Kluyveromyces lactis: one gene and its partner. The protein of the gene in region 2 interacts with the protein of the main gene of each other region in a pairwise test. Links are inferred from orthologs where the notes say so. Each region holds a gene or a part of one and is shown on either strand. Other genes may lie near its edges.

Evidence for each region.
Region 1: the proteins of DPB11 (region 2) and CHK1 interact in a two-hybrid assay, tested with the Schizosaccharomyces pombe proteins (2 studies listed by BioGRID). The link is inferred for Kluyveromyces lactis from reciprocal best matches to the Schizosaccharomyces pombe genes rad4 and chk1.

Annotation. Positions count from the first base shown.
Region 1 is NC_006042.1:118,581-124,140, reverse strand, and holds CHK1 (serine/threonine protein kinase CHK1), read left to right. Parts: upstream 1-2,580; coding exon 2,581-4,140; downstream 4,141-5,560. Other genes in the region: phosphatidic acid-binding protein CHM7, read left to right, coding at 1-864; KLLA0_F01298g (UBX domain-containing protein), read right to left, coding at 972-2,153; DNA-binding protein RIF1, read right to left, coding at 4,196-5,560.
Region 2 is NC_006042.1:1,324,163-1,330,199, reverse strand, and holds DPB11 (protein kinase activating protein DPB11), read left to right. Parts: upstream 1-2,328; coding exon 2,329-4,338; downstream 4,339-6,037. Other genes in the region: SIP4 (Sip4p), read right to left, coding at 1-1,275; GWT1 (glucosaminyl-phosphotidylinositol O-acyltransferase), read left to right, coding at 4,644-5,984. UniProt on the Schizosaccharomyces pombe protein: Essential component for DNA replication and also the checkpoint control system which couples S and M phases. May directly or indirectly interact with chromatin proteins to form the complex required for the initiation and/or progression of DNA synthesis.

The DNA of each region.
Region 1 (5,560 bases), about 1.2 Mb from region 2:
GCGACTGACTATGTATTCACTAAGGGTCATTTTTATAAGGCGTCCGGAATTGATAGCATCGTGAAAGATTGGGACTCCTACGGAATAATACTTGATTACTTATGTGATAAGAATCAAATTATTGTCGGTTCAGAAAATATAGTTAAGATTATCTCTCCGTTGTTGAGTGCGAGCCCCCAGGTAGCGTCCAAAGAAGTATCTGAAGAAGATATTTGTGTTGCCAATATTAATGAATATGTATTCACTGCGGAAACGGAGATAAAATCGGCACAAAAGGTGCTAGATCTTACTACCAAACGGCTGACAAGCGCTATTTCATCGGGTCTTTCTCAAGAGATTAAGAGAACACTTCTTAGGTTGAAAAAACGCTCAGAAAAGAACTTGGAACAAGCTTACACGAGTTTAGAATCTCTTAGGAAACTCCAAGATGAAATATCCAATGCTTCACAAAATGTGGTTATGATTAATCTTTTAAAACAAGGCAGTACCGCTTTGAAGGCTATCAATTCACAACTTTTAGATGAAGATTCTATTTCAAACATATTAGATGATTTCCAAGAAAATACAGAGAAGCAAGACCGTATTCATAATTTGTTAGTAGGAGAGTCGGTTTCCGACAATGATGCTCTTGAAGAAGAATTGTCACTGTTAGAGAAGGAGCTATCAACAGAGGATACAAAAGAGAAGGAGAAAAAGAAGATCGAAGAACAAAAATCTGCAGCACCTTTGGAATCTGGCTCAACAGAAGATTTGATAAAGAAACTTGGATCCTTGAGGGTATCGAGCAGGGACTCTCCTCGTGCAGAGAAGACGGAAGTGAAGGAACCGAAAAAGGAAGAGATGACCGAGAAACTGTTGGCCTAATTCTTCCGATAAGAGTGATTGCTCATATTTGGTATTAATATGTATATTTAATTCGTTCATGCATACATATGATATTTAACATAAAGGCGATTCATAAATCAGGTGTGCTATCTGCTGTTGTCGTCTGAGACATGGCCGTAATGTATAGAAGATGGAGAGACAGCTCTTGAGGGTATCGATGCATCAGAGTGTACCAGACGAGGGGAAGATAAGGGAGAAACATATCTAGATGAAGCTTGAGATGTTAATGCTTCAGCAGGTTCAGGAATATTTTGATCAACAACCGTTGATTTACCGTACCACCAGGACGTCACGTTCTGATACATTTTCCCAAGCAAACCTGGTCCTTCTACATCTGCAATCTTACGAGAATATGTATGCTTTTCCAAAGGCTTCAAGATTAATGCAGATCTTGGAGTAAGCTCCAGAGCTTTCAAAGATAGTAATTCTTGTGATTCTGTGAAAGTTTCACGTGGAATACTTCGATGGAACTGGTACGGACCATCCTTATCTGTCCTATTGGCATCCACCCAAGTCCTTACATCGTTTAAAGTTTGAGACGAATCGAAATCGTTTTTCAATGTCTTACCGTCTGTTAATCTTATAAGCAAGGTGCACACTGCTGCGTTTATTATATCTCTGTTTTTAATATTATCGTGAATGGGTACAGCCAATACTTCATTGATGTGTTCCTTAGTATGATTTGGAGATGATGACGATAATCTTCGTTGCTTCATTTCTTCACGGTCCGCTTTCATCAATCTAACAATACGTTCTCTTTCCTGTTGTTCTGTCAACTGGTGCTTCTTGGCCTTTATTTGGTACTCCATCAATTTCGCATTTTGTGACAGACAGCTACCGGACCTGGCGCCGGTATCACCAGCGGCACCAACGGTATTGGATGCATCAACGGCATCCGTTTCAGAGATTCTCCTCTTGCTTTTACCAACTGCCCGGATCAACCTAGTAGCAAATCCGTCCATGTCCAACTGATCTGGATTTATCATCTCCACTATTTGTCCCTTAGCAATACAATAAACGCTAGGAACCTTCACATCCGGGAATATTTGCTCAAAGTAACCCATTTCCCTGCTTCCAGCAGCTAAACGTAACCAAACGCACGAATCCTTCAACTGCTCCCCTACAAGTGGTGTAAACCACGACTCAAACCACGAATTATCTCCGCCCGTAGTATAAACCAATAACGCCTTGTTCTCTCGCAATGATTCTTGTACCGCATTTTCCACAGAGGAAACAAAATGCGTATCCAGTGTATCCATCGTATTCATATTTGCCTAATCTTACACTTACCACTCCTAAAAAGCTCACCACTGCTTCGTTGCTTCTATCAACAGTATCGGATTTGTTTATTGTTCACTGATTAAACTATAAACGTAGTAAAACCCCTTTCAATGTACGTTTTTATAAATGCAAAGAAATGACAGAAACTAATGACTATCGCAGATCTGATCAGAAAAGAAAAACAATAGTTTTATGATGATACTTATGGGGAAAACGGGATTTATATACGAGTCTCCGACGTGTTATCCTAGGTAAATCACTTGGGGTTCAGTTAGGACGGTTGGATGATATTTTGAGCACATCAGTTGCGTAAATATTGAATGTGCGTTTGGCTGATATAGCTGGAGATTTCTGAGATACGAACCGACAAGAACAAAAAAGAAGTAAAAGAAGAACACTTCGATTGATGTATTGATGAGCTTTTCACAGATAGCTCAGCTCCCTCATATTGATGGATTACAACTAGGAAGAACAATTGGGAAGGGCTCCTTTGCCTTTGTGAAGAGAGCTAGTTTAGAAGTTGATCCGTCCACTGTAATTGCTGTCAAATTCATACATCTTCCTTCATGTGAGAAACAAGGTATGAGTCAGGAAGATGTGTTGAGGGAAGTTAAGTTACATTCTAGATGCTCTAATTTTGTTAATGTGCTAAAGGTTATAGATTGCAATCTTTCTGATCCGTTTCTTTGGATAGCCATGGAACTGGCTGAAGGTGGTGATCTTTTCGATAAAATCGAACCTGACATTGGAGTCGACTCGGAAGTCGCCCAATTCTATTATAAACAACTTATAAAAGCTATAAGTTATCTGCATGATACCTGTGGTGTTGCCCATAGGGATATCAAGCCGGAAAATATCCTATTGGATAAAGATGGGAATTTAAAACTTGCAGATTTTGGGCTAGCATCGCTGTTCAAGAGAAAAGATGGATCAAAACGTATTTCTAGAGATCAACGAGGAAGTCTTCCCTACATGGCACCGGAAATAATATACTGTGATGGGTACTATGCTGATATGACAGATATTTGGTCCATTGGTGTTCTATTATTCGTTTTGTTGACTGGAGAAACGCCTTGGGAACTTCCTCACGAGGACGATGAAACGTTTAGAAACTTTATTAAAGGCGAAGGAAAGCTAGATCAGGGATCTTGGCTGAAGATAGATTTCGTTGAATTGAATCTCTTGAGAAAAATATTACAACCAGATCCAGAGAAAAGAGCTTCTTTGGATACTTTACGGAAACATACATGGTATCAAACAAATCCGAAATTTGCAGATGAAAATGGCCTTTGTAAAAATCCTTCTTTGCTTGCAGAAAAATTACTATCAAAGCTTAAAGTTTCTCTATCAGATGCCGATTATTTATCTTCTACGCAGGAAGTGTTTGCCAATCAACATGCAAAGATGTCGTTCACCCAACCTCTCAATCGTGAGCTTGCACATATAGATAGTTTACCGGCTAATTTGCGAAACGGCTACTCTGCCACTCAAAAGGTTACATGCAGCACGAATTTTTCAAGTGAAAGGGAATTAATGACGCAGGAGCCATTTTCAACCAAGAGAATCCAAGAAGATCTCGCTTCCTTGCAGTTTAATATTAATGATATGAAGCTAATGCCTAACTTTTCATCTGACAGGCTAACTAAATTTTTCTCTACTGATGATATTAGTGTAATCCTCTCAGACCTAGAGAATGCTTTGGTTGCATATGGTGTTAGAGTGAGTAGAAATCTTCACGATAATTTCTTGGAACTGAAACGGCAGATCGGAGAGAGTAACCCCTATCCTGTGTCTATACAGCTCAAAACATATGATAGAAATAAGCTCCCACTTTCAGGATCTCTAGTCATCATGCAGTTGGAAGGTGATCTGAAATCCGTTACTTTTGAAAGGAAACGGGGTGACCCGTTAGAATGGAGACGCTTTTTCAAAAGAATAACTGTATTCTGTAGAGATATTGTTTACGTAAATTGATCATTCCGAGAAATATTTTTGTTATGGATAGGAAAAATCTGACTGCAACATGTCCTTAATCTTCTAAGTTTAACATAAAATTATACATTACCTTTCTCAAAAGCTTCTTATCGTTGTTGCTTAAAGACTTCACATCATCAATATCGACATCATTTAAACTTGAAACAATTCGCATAATTTTTTTTGTATGATGCTGTCCTTCACAATTTGCACTTGCAACATCACCAGCTGAGTTCATCAGTTCTAAAGACCGCTTCCCTGATATATAGGTATCGCCTTTCGAAGCAAGATCCTCTTCGAGTTTGATAACATCAGTAAAGAAAGGATTAAAAATTGGTATCTTCAGAGGCAGCCCAGATGGGGAGTTAACGCTTGTCACTGTATCAAGGTTCTTAGATATCTCATCATTATTTGCAACACCTGGCAGACATTCGCTGACTTCAGTGCTGCTATCTTTAATAGAAGGCGTTTGTTTTTCCATTTCCCCTGATGAAACTTGTGACACTGCATTCTGCGTTGTTTCTGCTTCAAGCTTTTCGGATTGTACACTAGCAGCCATTTTTACTGGTTCATTGTCATTAGAATTTTGTATAGGCTCAACGACTTTTTGGCACCCCGTTCGAATTAGCTCATCTGAAGTTTCCGAAAGTGTTTGCAGCGGAACTTCAAGCTCTTCGGAGGAAGTTACCTTAGTTTCGATAACAGATAATGTAGATAAAGGAAAAATATTTGTATTATCTTGCTGTTCATTATGTTGCAGCGTCTCACGATCTGATACCTTTTTATTTTCCTTTGGAGGGATGAATTTGTATTGTCGAGTCGAGTTTCTTTTTGCATTGGCTTTGAACACATTAAGCTTTTTCAACAGAGTCTTATTACCTTGTATCTTGAAATCAGGATGATTTAAAAAGAGCACTATTAGTGAAGTTCCATATTGTTTTTCCTTCGCAGACTTCATGATATTAACTACATATTTCATAATATCAGTGAGAATTTTTGGATTGCTTCCAACGAAGTAGTCCACAATAGCAGGAAAGATTCCTTTCAATCTTTCTTTGTCATCAGCTGATAATTGTTGCTTTATATCAAATATGAAACTGAGTAACTCCTCCGTTATTATATCAAATACCTGATATTTTGTCTGTTTTAATAGCTGCTCCATTAAATCGATAACGTAAGAGGGATTTAGATTCTTAAAACTATCCCTGAGGAAATCGATAAGATCCGAATTGAGTTTGCCACTTTCATTTATCATCCGAGCAATTGTGTTTGGTTTTATATTTTCGAACTTTATCTTTCCAGCTGTCAAGAAGTCAACAATTTTGTCTGAATCTCTGCGTAGCAAGCAAACTTCGAATAACATGGACAGTAAATCCCAGTCTTGATGCCCTATTGAAGATTTCAATAACATATCCATGAT
Region 2 (6,037 bases):
TAAGAAATTAGTCTTAGGTAATCCGTTGATGAAACACCACCAGATCTGGAACACTTGGAATTGATAAAACGTGAGAAGCCTAATAACCTTTGACGTTGAGTTTTCATGTCCAACAAGATTGTTGTAATTCAAGAACAAAGCTGAATTGATGATCATATACTGGTTGAAATTAATCAAATCGTTAGTCCAAATGACAGAGTATGGGTTCTCCTGGGACATGAAATACCGTATTCCGAAATTCATCAGTTGAATCGATGATAATTTGTCCTGCGACAAGGAACCCAAAAGTTTAACCGCCTGGAAAATCGTCTCGTTATTGAAACAATTCAACTCGAACTGTACTATAAGTATTAGTACAATGGACACCGCAGGGTCAGAGACAGTCGAAGTCCCGGTTAGTACCGAGATCATTCGTTGGTGCCATGACGTCCCCAAGAGATATGGGAAGATTTGGTTCGAGTTCAAGTACTTATCAATTAATCGTATTACATCCTCAGCAGATAAGGGGATATTAATCGGTACACCGCTCGGTGAAAGTGGGAAATGTCGGTTAAGGTACGATAGAACCGGGTCCTGTACGATAGACCTTGTATACTGGAAAGACTTCAACTGAGATTTATTATGGTTGACGATCGAATTCCAGGTGAAATTACCTAGATACACTTGGTCATGGATATAGTTTGGGAATTTATGGAAAGTATCATTGATAAAGGGTAGGAACGTGGACGCAGGGGCCTGGGCCGGTACTGGCGCTGCCGATGCCGCTGGAGGAACCGAAACAGAAGACTTTGTTCCCATTTCCCCCACAGAGTTAAGGAATTCCTGGCCAGCAGGAATAACACCCGTCTGTGCAGTAGCTGCCACGGCAGCTACTGCACCATCAATCACGGTCTCACCGTTCTCGTCCACCATCCCACAAAGCCGCTGCAACTTAATCACCTCGTTCTCCAACATCTCCGTGTAACCCCTAGGGAACCCGCGTCTTGTAAGCTTATCACTAGTCGAACAATGGTACCCTATCTTCTTACAATTGGAACAACTAGGCTTGATACCGTCACATTTAATCTTCTTAAGCCTACATCTATCACATGCCTGTGAAAACCGTTTCACTTTTGTTGATGCCGTAGGCATCAACAATTTCTTCTCATTGTGTTTGTCGACTTTCCCATATTTACGCTTCTTACCTGACTGACTGCTACTGTCATCACTGCTATTACCAGTAGACATCTTACCAGCAAGCACGCCCTTTACATCATCCTGCGAAACACTTGGCATAGTGATATATACATATACTTGGCGCTACTACAGGAAGCTTATAGCAAGCTTACGTTCCAAACAGAAAAAAAAACATCTGATACCTACCATAAACCTTCCGGTTCATGGTTATATGGCAGAACGTTTCCCCAGGTCCGTTTGTCTTATATATCTGATTCAGAATCATGAATAATAATAATAATATTTGGCTATAAAAACCCTCGAGAAATCTAATTCAAGAAACTAAGGCAAGAAGAAACTACCTTTTAACAAGCCAAGAGAATAAACCAATGAGATAACCGAGATAGCTGGGACGTTTGAAGAATTTCCCTTAATTGATGGATCCCAGAAACTGACATTTGTGACATTTCCACAAGTGACGTTGGACATATTATTCAGTATTCGGTATGCTATAGACTATATAAGAGGGCTAATTAATATGCGTTAGTAGTGTGTAATTCCAGTTTTGCAATTGTCCCTTTCAGCCGGATCTGGGGAAAGGAAGTTTTGGGGACAAAAAAAGCGGTTCTAGGCGCGGTTTTCCGTGTAGTCAGCAAAAAAATTTGTGCAGTTATATCGGTTTATCGTAGGGAGAGTAAGGACCTGAAAGGATTTGTCCGGATGAAAGGCTAACGGGGAGAAGTCACAAGTCCGAATGGTGTATGGGTGGCGATGTTTGCCTGCTTCTTGCAATTTCACATGTGACAGATATATGAGTCAGCTGGACGGTTGCTGACAAGGATGATGACTCGACGGGGGGGGCGCCGGAAGGGGGAGATTCGCTGTAGTCACGTGGTTAGTGTTTAATTTTTGGTTTTGGTTTTCGTTTTCTCAGGGTAACCCTGGGTAGCTTGTGTTTTTCGTCCACGTGACCTGTAAACAAATGTCATTTTACAACTCTTCTCTGTTTATTATTTTCCACACATAAACGCGTATTTACACAGATATCCAATCCATCCTTCCTTCCTTCACATATGAATGGTGATGATGTGTCTAAAAAGCTGGAACAAAGGTGTAGATAGCTTCTTCTTCTTCTTCTTCTTCTTCCTCAATTCTCCCTGAAGTAGAGCAAACATGTCCGGCAAACCATTTCAAGGACTGGTGTTCTGTCCTACGTCTCTCCCGTTGTCGGTTTCTGATACCATCTCACATAAAGTGACAAAACTCGGTGGGACTTATACCAAGGATTTGACAAGACTAGTCAACGTATTGGTTGTTGGAGAGTTATTCACCGCAAAGTATAACTTTGCTGTCAAGAATAGAACTGATATCGTGTTTGTTAGTCCGGGATCCGTTGATCAGTTGTACGATGCGTGGCTCGCAGGAGAAGATCTGTTGCAGTTGGCTAAATTCGATATGTCCCAGTACTTAAAATCGAAGTACTCTATCGGGTCGTTTGAAAAATTTAACTTGTTCATTGGCAGAATACGACCTAATAACCATTATTCTCTTGAGTCGTTGGTTCAGTTGTGTAAATTGGGTAAAGTGAAATCGGTAGATACCACGCATTTCATTAGGAACTCTTCGTCATCCAATGCATGCATTTCGTTGTTTATTACCGATGATTTATCGGGGAACCGTGTCCAGGCTGCTTTAGAAGAGAACGTTCCCGTAGTGCATCCAAAATGGATCATTGATTGTATGGACAGATCAGGGACTCTAGACTTTCAATCTTTCTACCTGTTGAAAAATTGTCATGAACTTGAATACTCTGACATTGGTTCTGGTTCGTACATTCGTGACGTTCCAGATAAGAAAAAATCTGTAACTGAACCAAATCCCATGGGTGTACAAGATGATTCGGTGAATCCGTTGAAGATTGCTATAGATAAATTTAAGCCTCAAGCGAATCAGATATGGGGGAAACTATTGGCAAGAGATGGTGATGCTTCAGCGTCAAAGTCCACTGATATTAAGGAAGCCACCCCAACGCATCAAGAATGCCTTGGTGAGACAAAGGATACACCGACCTTCCTGGACTGTCACTTCGTGCTATTCAAGTTCGAAAAAAGACAGGTTACTATCTTATCTAATGTCATTCGCGGTAATAAAGGAACGTCTTCCCTCTTCGAGGATACATCACCGTCACCGGCACAGCTGAAGGATAAGACCATTTATTATATCTGTCCAAGTGGATTTCCGGCAAATCTACTGCCGAGAATCCCAAATGAATCATCGTGGTTGACAGAATTCTTCATCGAACGATGTTTGTATTACGAACAACTCCTACCTCCGGATTTTTGGTCAAAACCTTTCTACAACGATTTCAATATCATTCCACCTAAATCGGTGTTACATGGCCCTAAACTTTCCTTCCATATCACAGGGTTCCATGGCGTGGAATTACTACACATCAATAAAATTATAGACTTTTTGAAGTTGATTGGTTTTGACCATCATGAGAAATTGACGAAGAAGACGGATTTCTTACTCGTTAACATCTCCCAATTGACTTCAATACCACAGGAACATACTTTAAGGCAAAATAAGTACGCGTCAATGTTCAGGACAGATTTGGATATGAAGATCTCTGTAAATCAAGCTCAAATGTTTAGAAATTCAATGAAACGGAAAATTGAATTCGTTAAGCAAGCTCATCATATTCCCATCCTAACTCCAAGTTTTGTCATTGAACTCTTCCAAAGAGCAATGAAACCTAATAAGACTTCCATGAACATCTACTTTAATGACGTTAATTGGTGTATTTCTTGTCCCAAGGGTTCTAAATCTGACTTTGCACTACAAATAATTCCAAAGGAAAGAGGAAACGAGGATCCTTTGCTAGAGAAACCCGCTCCTGTTGATATTGCGGCACCTCTGTCAACTGCCTCTTCTGCATCAGCAGAACTACCTCATGTTCCAAATAGAGGGAACCGTTGGGGGAAACTTCTTTCAAATAATGTAGATACAGAGAATGAGGAATCAAGCTTTATCCAAACTGTAGGTCATGATAGTGACCATCTTTCGCATACTCAGATCACGTACGGATCAGCATCAACGTCGACATCTGTGCAGCAGAATTTGAAAAGAAGGAAGATTTCTACCAGAAGCCAAGCTAAAGACATCATTTCTCATGTTTCATAAATCTCATGTATTATTACGTCACGCCATATATATGTATGTATATATGTATACATATCCATTCGGATATTATCTGTAACAAGATCATTAACATTCTTATTCTGCTTAGAAGTGCCTCTAACTCCTAAATGTGTGTCATTTTTACGTGTCTGAACCTATATTCCAGATTTACTCTTCTGTGCATGCTTCCTTTAAAAGTGAAAATATTGACAAGTGTCATTCTACCTGTTTATTAAGCTCTAGATCAATGAAGGTTCAATAAAGGAAGTAAGTACAAGAAACGTATACAGGCTCGGGGATATCAGACCATGGATGCTTCTGGTGTAATTGATGAATTGAAACACCGGAAGGAAGCTTTCGTTACCGGACACTCCGGAAGTTCAATTGCAGATTTACGAGATGTCACATTAGCCGGTATTTTTTCTAACGCCGCTTGGATCTACGTCGTTTCGAACAATCCCAGCTACCGGGACTCCTTCTGGTTAGATTTCTTATTGAATTGGATGGGTCTCCTCTGTAGTGTTACTGTATTTGGGGAAAACCCATTTCTTACAGGTATATTAGGTTTAAGTGCGGTGCTATTATTTGGATGTATATCTAAGGGAAGTAAACGCGAAACGATTAAAGAAACTGTAATGGACAATGGCAACCAGTCAGCAACCCTCACAGTGTATAGGAGTACAATGCTGATCTTAACTTCCATTGCCATATTGGCTGTAGATTTCCCTATCTTTCCTAGGAAATATGCCAAGGTAGAAACCTGGGGCATTTCATTGATGGATCTAGGTGTTGGATCGTTTGTATTCAGCAATGGTATTATAAGTTACAAAAGATTAAAATCTGGAACTGAATTATCCAAATGGGCTAAAATTAAACAATCATTAAGGTCGACGGTGGTACTAGTGGTATTGGGTTTCATTCGTTTGTTTTCCGTTAAGGCTGTAAACTATCAAGAACATGCAACCGAATATGGTATCCATTGGAACTTCTTCTTTACCCTTTCATTACTACCCCTTGCAATGATTATTTTCGATTTCTACAACATGAGATTGAGATTTGTTATAGGTTTGATTGCAGCCATTATCTACGAGCTTTGCCTGATATACCATCCAACCTTTCTGGACTATTTGTTAAATGCAGAACGAATAGATTTTATTTCTGCGAATAGAGAAGGAATCTTTTCGTTTGTTGGTTATTGTATCATCTACCTAGCTGGCCAGCAAGTTGGTAGTATGTTCTTCCCAATCTCCAGAAATCCAATGCAACTGCTGTGGAAATTGGTAGCTCTAAGCATCTTCAGTTCTGCCATATCGTATGTTCTTCTACACTATCATCCATTACAGGTATCTCGGAGATTTGCCTCAATTGGGTACTCCTCTATGGTTATTTCATTCAATCTGTTAATCTTAACCTTCGATCAACTGATAGTCGAATGCTTAACGAGCAAACCTAGAGTGCCTAAGACGTATCGAGCTGTAAACGGTAACGGCATGCTGGTATTTCTTATATCAAATGTCACAACAGGGATGGTTAACTTCACTTTCAACACATTGGATTCACCACCTTATAAGGCGATGGCGATACTGACAGTGTATGCTTTGTTCCTCGCCGTATTCGCTCTAAAAGTTCCGTTTAAGCTTAAATTTTAAGAAACTCTGTATTGACCTCTGTGTAGGTAATTAAATCGCAGATCATCATCAAA